Mus musculus: one gene and its partner. The protein of the gene in region 1 binds, or shares a complex with, the protein of each later gene. Links are inferred from orthologs where the notes say so. Each region holds a gene or a part of one and is shown in the gene's direction. Other genes may lie near its edges.

Region 1 (4,175 bases):
TAGCTAGAAGACACAAAGCCAGCACACCTCATAAAGCAGCATGTGGTGCCTGCCTGTAATCAGCACATAGGATCTCACAGGCAGGAAGAACAGGAATTTAAAGTTGTTACTTGGCCACATTGTGAGTTCAAGGCCAGCGTTGGGTTTGTTTGTTGGTTTTGTTTTTTGTTTTTTCAAGACTGGGTTTCTCTGTGCAGCCCTGGCTTTCCTGGAACTCACTTTGTAGACCAGGCTGGCCTAGAACTCAGAAATTGCCTGCCTCTCCCTCCCAGGTGCTAGGATTAAAGGCATGTGCCACAACTGCCCGACAGCGTTGGGTTTTTGAGACTGCATTTTATTTTTTTAAAGAAACCCAGATAACCTGATTGATTCCATAGGCCAGGTGACTATGCCACTATTAAGAAAAAGCTGGGTGTAATGGTGCATGCCTTTAGTCCTACCACTCAGGAGGCAGAGGCAGGTGAATCTCTGAGTTAGTTCAAGGCTAACCTGGTCTGCAAATCCAGTTTCAGGATGGCCAGGGCTCTGTTACACAGAGAAACCCTGTCTCTTAAAAAAAAAAAAACATTTTTCCTTTAATCCTAGCAGTTGGATAAGTGGATTCTAGCCAGTTTGAGGCCAGCCTGGTCTACAAGTGAGTTTCAGGCTACACAGAGCTACAGACTCAGATGCTGCCTCAAATAACAACTACTTTTGTTAGTAGTGGTTTTTGGATTTTGCCTACAGCTCCAGCTGTTCCCAGGTATTTGAGAGTCAAAATTATACCTGTCACTCCCATGGTTTTGAAGGACAAAAGGAATATCTAGTATGTATTTCAGATATATGGTCATGAATATAATGTGACTCTTGTCATGTAAAAGTTGTATACATAGAAAAAATTGGAAAAAATTAACAAAATACTAACATGCTTCGCAGGAATGATTATCTGTGGCGTTATGTACTTACAGCTGTGAGTCTGAGGCTTGGGCTGCACGAGCCTGTGTAAGAGGTCAGAGGACAACTTGTGGTAGTTAGTGTTCTTTTTTTTGGTTTTGGTTTTGGTTTTGGTTTGGTTTGGTTTTTGTTTTTGTTTTGAGACAAGGTTTCTCTGTGAAGCCCTGGCTGTCCTGGAACTCACTTTGTAGACCAGGCTGGCCTCAAACTCAGAAATCCGCCTGTCTCTGCCTCCCAAGTGCTGGGATTAGAGGCGTACCATGCCCGGCAGTAGTTGGTGTTCTTGCCCCATGTGGTTCTGGGCATCAAATGCAGGTGCTTAGGCTTTGCTGCACGGCCTTTACTCTCTGAGCCATCTTGCCAGTCCATAATTCTATATAAATTGTATGTTTTCTAAGTTGAGTCCTTACGATTTCTCTGAGAATCTAAAAAGTGTGGACCTCCAGGGCTGGAGAGATGCTCAGTAGTTAAGAACACTGGTTCCTCTTCCAGAGGTCCTGCATACTCATACATAAAATACAGTGTTAAAAATGTGGACTCCAGCCGGGCGTGGTGGCACATGCCTTTAATTCTAGCACTTGGGAGACAGAGGCAGGCAGATTTCTGAGTTCAAGGCCAGCCTGGTCTACAAAGTGAGTTCCAGGACAGCCAGGGCTACACAGAGAAACTCTGTCTCAAAAAACAAAAAAAAAAAAAAAAAAAAAAGAGAGAGAGAGAGAGAGAGAAATGTGGACTCCAGTGGGTAGGAGGTGCTGGCCTGTTGAAGTCCGTGGGTGAGGAACAGTGTGGAGGGGCCGGCATTTCTTTACAGATTCTTGCTAGCTGGAGGAAGAGATGAATCTGTCAGTGAGAACGTGGCCATCAGTCCAACCCCTGTCTTCTTTCTCCGTGTGCAGCTCTTAGAACAAGCCCTGGTGATCGAGGAGCAGCTTCGCAGGGCAGCTTACCTGAACATGTCCGAGGACCCCTCTCACCCGTCTATGGCCCTTAACACCCGCTTCGCTGAGGTGGAGTGTTTGGCAGAAAGTCACCAGCACCTGTCCAAGGAGTCGATGGCAGGGAATAAGCCGGCCAATGCAGTCCTACACAAAGGTCGCCAGTGGCTCCCCTGCCTCCTGCTCCTTCCACCTCCCCCTCCACTCTCCCCTCCCCAACATCCATAAACAGCTTATTTCCAAACTGTCTGCCGAGCCTGTGTGGAACCTTAGGATGTGAGCTGAGGGGATTTTCTTTGCAGGCAATCGAGGACAGCGATTTTCTTTGAACTCTTAAGTCTATTGAGATTTTGAGCATAGCTTTATGGGGGGGGGGTGAAATGAAAAGGTGGGTGTCATAAAGGTAGCCGGGGACATTGGGGATATAAAAAGGTGTGGATGCAGAGAGGAGATGGTAGGAACTGAGCCTCTCAAGTGGAGGAGCCCAAGGCTGAGAATAAAAACTCTGTGGGCATTTGCTGTGCTCCCAACTTGGGAGCACTTGGAGGCGGGAGCACGATGAGATGTGCTCATGCTTGGCTGCATAGGAAGTTTGAAGCCAACCTTTTATATAAAAAAAAAAAAAAAAAAAAAAAAAAAAGAAAGAAAGAAAAAGAAAATGGAGACAATAGTGAGAAGGAATAATGAACTAAAGTTTGGTGGCTCTTAAAAACAAGAATCCGCCAGCTGTGGATGGCCGATGCCTAGAGTCACAGGGACTCAAGAGACACAGCAGGACCTGAGCTCAAGTCTCAGGCCATCCTGGACAACATGTGAGACCAGAGCCACTTGCAACTAGAATGGGAGGAATAGCTGGGTGGGCAGGCCAGGTAAAGCGAGTGTCAAGAGCGTATCCTGTGTATGCCAGCGTGACAACCAGCCCTGTGGGCCACAGCTGTGCCCTTGACTACCACAGCTCACGGCCTCTTTCTTTCTTTTTCCCTCTGCAGTCCTGAAACAGCTGGAGGAACTGTTGAGTGACATGAAAGCTGATGTGACGCGGCTCCCAGCCACCATTGCCCGCATCCCCCCAGTCGCTGTGAGGTTACAGATGTCAGAGCGGAACATTCTCAGCCGCCTGGCAAACAGGGCGCCAGAACCTCCCCCACAGCAGGTAGCCCAGCAGCAGTGAAAGACCCAGAGTGATATCCACCTCCACCACTCAGCAGTGACCTTCCTCACTTTCTCTTGTCCCGGCTGCCCCTGGGGGCCAGAGAGACCCTTGCCTTCCTTCTGCCCATCTTCTGAGTTGTAAAGGAACAGCCCTGCGCAGTGGGGCAGGGAGGGAGGGAGAAGCAATGGTGCCCTTCCTGCTGGAGAGACAAGCAGCAGTAGCGCAGCGCCCGCCCGCCATGTGCAGGAGCTGGCGGGCTGGCTGCCTTCTGGACCCTGGCTTCTCCCCACCGTGCGCCTGTTACAAACTGTTGTGGATTCTGCCAGGCTCGAAGAAAATGATCTGAATTTCTTCCTCTTTTTGGTTTTATTTTGTTGGTTTACTTTGTGTTTTCTCCTTTTTGGGGGGTATTCAGAGTGGGCCGGGCCCCTGGGCGAGACACAGCTACCTCTGTTGGCATCTTTTTAATACCAGGAACCCAGCGGCTCCAGCCACTGAGCAGCTAAATAAAGTTGGAAAAAAAAAAAAAAAGAAAAAGAACCAAAAGCATAAAAAACCACAGCAAATTTCTTGATGAGAACTGAAAATAAAAGTTTCCTTGTATTTTAGTGATCTGGTTCTGTGTGGGTGAGTGTGGGTTCCAGGTACCCCAGGAACTGGCTTATCCTGGAAGACTGCCTGTGCTCCTGACAGGGTGACATTCTGGCGAACAAGAGGCTTCTGGACCATTGTTTATAGGCTCTGATCTTTAGCAAACTGTTCGCAGAGCACTCCTGCAGGAAGTAGCCACTTGCCTGGTACAGTTGTGAAGACATTGGGCAAGTGTTCTACCATGGAATACATATGCGTGAATATGTAATTATAGAAGTATAAATTTTTTGAGGGTCTAAGTAACAACTGCCTGCCCCTGCCTCTCAAGTGGGGGAATTAAGGATGTGTTACCTTAAGTATAAATTTTTTGAGGGTCTAAGTAACTACTGCCTGCCCCTGCCTCTCAAGTGGGGGAATTAAGGATGTTACCGTACCCTAAAATTTTTTCCTTGGTTTATTGTTATCACTTTTTTTTTGTTTGAAGATTTATTTATTATTATATATGAGTACACTTCAGACACACCAGAAGAGTGCATCAGATCTCATTGCAGATGGTTGTGAGC
Region 2 (3,564 bases), on another chromosome or scaffold:
GCTGCAGTCATGAAAGGGTTAATGAACTGGGCCTACCAAGTTTCCTGGCCCTTTGGGGTTTCCGGCTCCATCTGGCAGGGGCTGACCTTGGCCTTATCCAATCAGAAGGGGTAGGGGTGTGGTTCTTTTTGCCCTACCTCTGGGTTTTCCTAGAGCACAGAGAGACACGGACACCCCCACCCCAAATCTGTACCCCCATTTTTCAGGGGAACAATGCACCGATGAGCATGTGCCTGAGGTTTCTGTCTTCTACTTTGGTTGGCACTTAGCCAGGTTAACTGTTTCTACGGAGATTTCAGTGCAGGCCTCTTGGTGCCTCTTGGTGAGGAAGGTGTTGGCACTGGTTTCAGAGTTGCCCTTCTTGAAAGCCCACAAACTATTATTAGCCAAGTAGAAAGAGAAGGAGCATTAGGTTGCATGTGATGTTTCAGACACAGCAAGGAGTCCTGAAGTATGAAGAGGAGCTGGTAAATAAACAGCGACCATGTGTGCTATTTTTACTTCTTCTTAACTGGATTTTAGGACCTCGGACTGGTTGTGCAAGAAAGAGCTAAATATGATGTCACACTGTATTATGGCTCTGTTTGTGCTTTCTGCGTGTTGGCAGCTAGGGTTGGGTGCATTTCTGTGGTATCCTTATACTCTCACAGTATAAGGATGGGATAATTCCTTTGACGGAATTAAAGAGAGGATGGAACATCTACACTGAGGTGTAAGGCCGAAAGGGGGGGCTGGTAGGATAAGAGTGAGCTGCCCGAGGAAAGCAGTGCTGGGCAGCAGCTGAGGTAGGCTCTCCTTTACCAGACTAGCTAGCTGGCTAAGGTACCTGTTTCTGAATTAGTTTATGACTTGGTTTTTCCTCACTATTCTAGGGGAGTTTGAGGAGGAATCAAAACAGCCAGGGGTCTCCGAGCAGCAGAGACATCAACTGAAGCACCGAGAGCTTTTTCTTTCTCGGCAGTTTGAATCATTACCAGCCACCCACATAAGGTATAGGACGATCAGGGTCACTGTGGTCTATGTGCCCTTGTTTAGAAGATGGAGAGAAGGGGGTGGTGTATTGGAGATGGCAGGTAAGGAGGGCTGCTCATCCAGGACTTTTGGGTTTGTCCTTTTTCTTAGGGGGAAGTGCAGCGTGACTCTCTTGAACGAGACAGACATCTTAAACCAGTATCTAGACAAGGAGGTGAGGAGCTGTTGGGATAAGAGGGAGGTGAGAGAATGTTGCCCCTAAAGGCAAGTGAGGTGGTAAAGGGGCCACGGACCTCACAGCCGTGTGTGTGTGTGTGTGTGTGTGTCTGTGTGTCTGTGTGTGTCTGTGTCTGGAGAGACCTTACTGTCCATGCAGATTCCTTCCCACTAACCTCCTCTCTTCCTCTTCAGGACTGCTTTTTTTACTCACTGGTGTTTGATCCTGTGCAGAAGACACTTCTGGCTGATCAAGGGGAGATCAGAGTTGGTTGCAAATTCCAAGCTGAGATCCCAGATCGTTTGGCAGAGGGTAAGCAACAGAACAAGAAGTGCTTGAACATGAAAGTTTCTGTTGATAGCTTGATTTGGGGTACCAGTGTGGAATCTGCTAGGTGTTGTGTTGTGGCTCTGACAGGGTGAGACTTAGGAACATGAGAGAGACAAGTGGGCACAGCTGGGAGGGGAGTTCTGAGGTCTGATAGACTCCAAGCAGAGCAGAGGAAAAAGAGCCATTGTGAGTGACTATGAGTTATTTCCCTCTCTCCCTCCGTGGTGATTCTGTTGTTTCCTCAGGAGAATCAGATAATCGAAACCAACAGAAGATGGAGATGAAAGTCTGGGACCCAGACAACCCTCTCACAGACCGGCAGATTGATCAGTTTCTCGTGGTGGCCCGGTGAGGGTGGGTGGATCAGGAAGGTGGGCTGGGGAGGAATGGACTGAGTTCTGCGTCTCATCCAATTTCTTTCTTTCTTTCTTTCTTTCTTTCTTTCTTTCTTTCTTTCTTTCTTTCTTTCTCTCTCTCTCTCTCTCTCTCTCTCTCTCTCTTTCTTTCTTTCTTTTTTTTTTTTTTTAAAGTGGGCTTTGTTTTAGGCCTGGGCATTTTCTTTTTCTAATTAGTTCCTGAACCTGCTTGAATTTTGAAGGGGAGAACCCTTCTTGACTTCTCAATCTCTCTTTAGAGCTGTGGGAACCTTCGCGAGAGCCCTAGACTGCAGCAGCTCAATTCGGCAGCCAAGCTTGCACATGAGTGCAGCTGCTGCGTCCCGAGATATCACTCTGGTAAGTGCCAGCTGATAGATAGTTGGGCGTGTTGAGGCAGGAGAGGAGGGCGGGAGTCCTGAAGAAGGTGCTTAAAGAGTAGCAAGTCCTTAGCTTTGTTCTATATTTTTGGTAGTTCCATGCCATGGATACCTTGCAAAGGAATGGCTATGACTTGGCCAAGGCTATGTCAACCCTAGTACCACAGGGAGGCCCGGTGCTCTGTCGGGATGAGATGGAGGAATGGTCTGCTTCTGAAGCCATGCTGTTTGAAGAGGCTCTGGAGAAGTACGGGAAGGATTTCAATGATATCCGCCAGGACTTTGTAAGTGAACAGGACTAGGAGGAGGGAGAACGACGATGGAGCTAGGATCACATGCCATCTCATCCTGTTTGCTGTTCTTTTTAGCTACCCTGGAAGTCACTTGCAAGCATAGTCCAGTTTTATTACATGTGGAAAACCACAGACCGGTATATTCAGCAGGTATGGGTCAGGCTGGCTGGGAGGCTGGACCAGAGGCTATCTGCTTACCTCTCTGCTGTTTCTTTTGTTTGATTTCAATTTGTACTGAGATGCTCTGAATTTCTTTCTGTTTTTCTCCTTCTTACAGAAAAGATTGAAAGCTGCTGAAGCAGACAGCAAACTGAAACAGGTCTACATCCCCACTTAGTAAGTGTGGCAGAAAGGGAGATGGTGTCTTCCTTAATGATTGGGGGTAACCAGGAAGCAGAAGCAATTGTAGAAGCTGTAGCTCAGTGAGAAGCATGGGCTTAGTATGCACAAGGCTGTAGGCTTAATCCCCAGAACTCCAGAGAGTCGGAAATAGAAAGTAAAGTGGTGGTAAGAGAGACACAAGTGGGTTGTTTTCTTAACTAGCTTCTGTCTTCTCCTCTTGTTTCGTTCATTAGTACCAAGCCAAACCCTAACCAGATCATTTCTGTGGGTTCAAAACCTGGCATGAATGGGGCTGGATTCCAGAAGGGCCTGACTTGTGAGAGCTGCCACAGTGAGTTCCAAGGGGGGACAGGGTTGCTGGGGATAGGTGGTCCTAGGGTGGCTTATTCTCTGTCCTGGGAATTTGAGGATCTTGGGTGGCATATTTCCTGCCAGCAAATTTCCCTTCTCTCTCTACTCTTGTAGCCACACAGTCTGCCCAGTGGTATGCCTGGGGACCCCCTAACATGCAGTGCCGACTTTGTGCTTCCTGTTGGATTTATTGGAAGAAATACGGGGGACTGAAGACCCCTACCCAACTTGAAGGGGCTGCTCGGGGCACCACAGTAAGAATCAGTGGGTGGGAACTTGGCATGGTGACTGAGGCAGGTGGGTGA

Evidence for each region.
Region 2: Chd4 (region 1) and Mta2 share a complex: the UniProt entries of both Homo sapiens proteins name them as parts of the nucleosome remodeling and deacetylase (NuRD) repressor complex. The link is inferred for Mus musculus from reciprocal best matches to the Homo sapiens genes CHD4 and MTA2.

What each region holds. Positions count from the first base shown.
Region 1 is NC_000072.6:125,126,963-125,131,137, forward strand, and holds the end of Chd4 (chromodomain-helicase-DNA-binding protein 4), read left to right. Parts: intron 1-1,829; coding exon 1,830-2,025; coding exon of another isoform or gene 2,026-2,028; intron 2,029-2,857; coding exon 2,858-3,039; 3' UTR 3,040-3,629; downstream 3,630-4,175. UniProt on the Homo sapiens protein: ATP-dependent chromatin-remodeling factor that binds and distorts nucleosomal DNA. Acts as a component of the histone deacetylase NuRD complex which participates in the remodeling of chromatin.
Region 2 is NC_000085.6:8,944,884-8,948,447, forward strand, and holds part of Mta2 (metastasis-associated protein MTA2), read left to right. Parts: intron 1-872; coding exon 873-990; intron 991-1,122; coding exon 1,123-1,186; intron 1,187-1,383; coding exon 1,384-1,501; intron 1,502-1,764; coding exon 1,765-1,867; intron 1,868-2,153; coding exon 2,154-2,253; intron 2,254-2,368; coding exon 2,369-2,557; intron 2,558-2,641; coding exon 2,642-2,716; intron 2,717-2,843; coding exon 2,844-2,902; intron 2,903-3,141; coding exon 3,142-3,239; intron 3,240-3,373; coding exon 3,374-3,513; intron 3,514-3,564. UniProt on the Homo sapiens protein: May function as a transcriptional coregulator. Acts as a component of the histone deacetylase NuRD complex which participates in the remodeling of chromatin.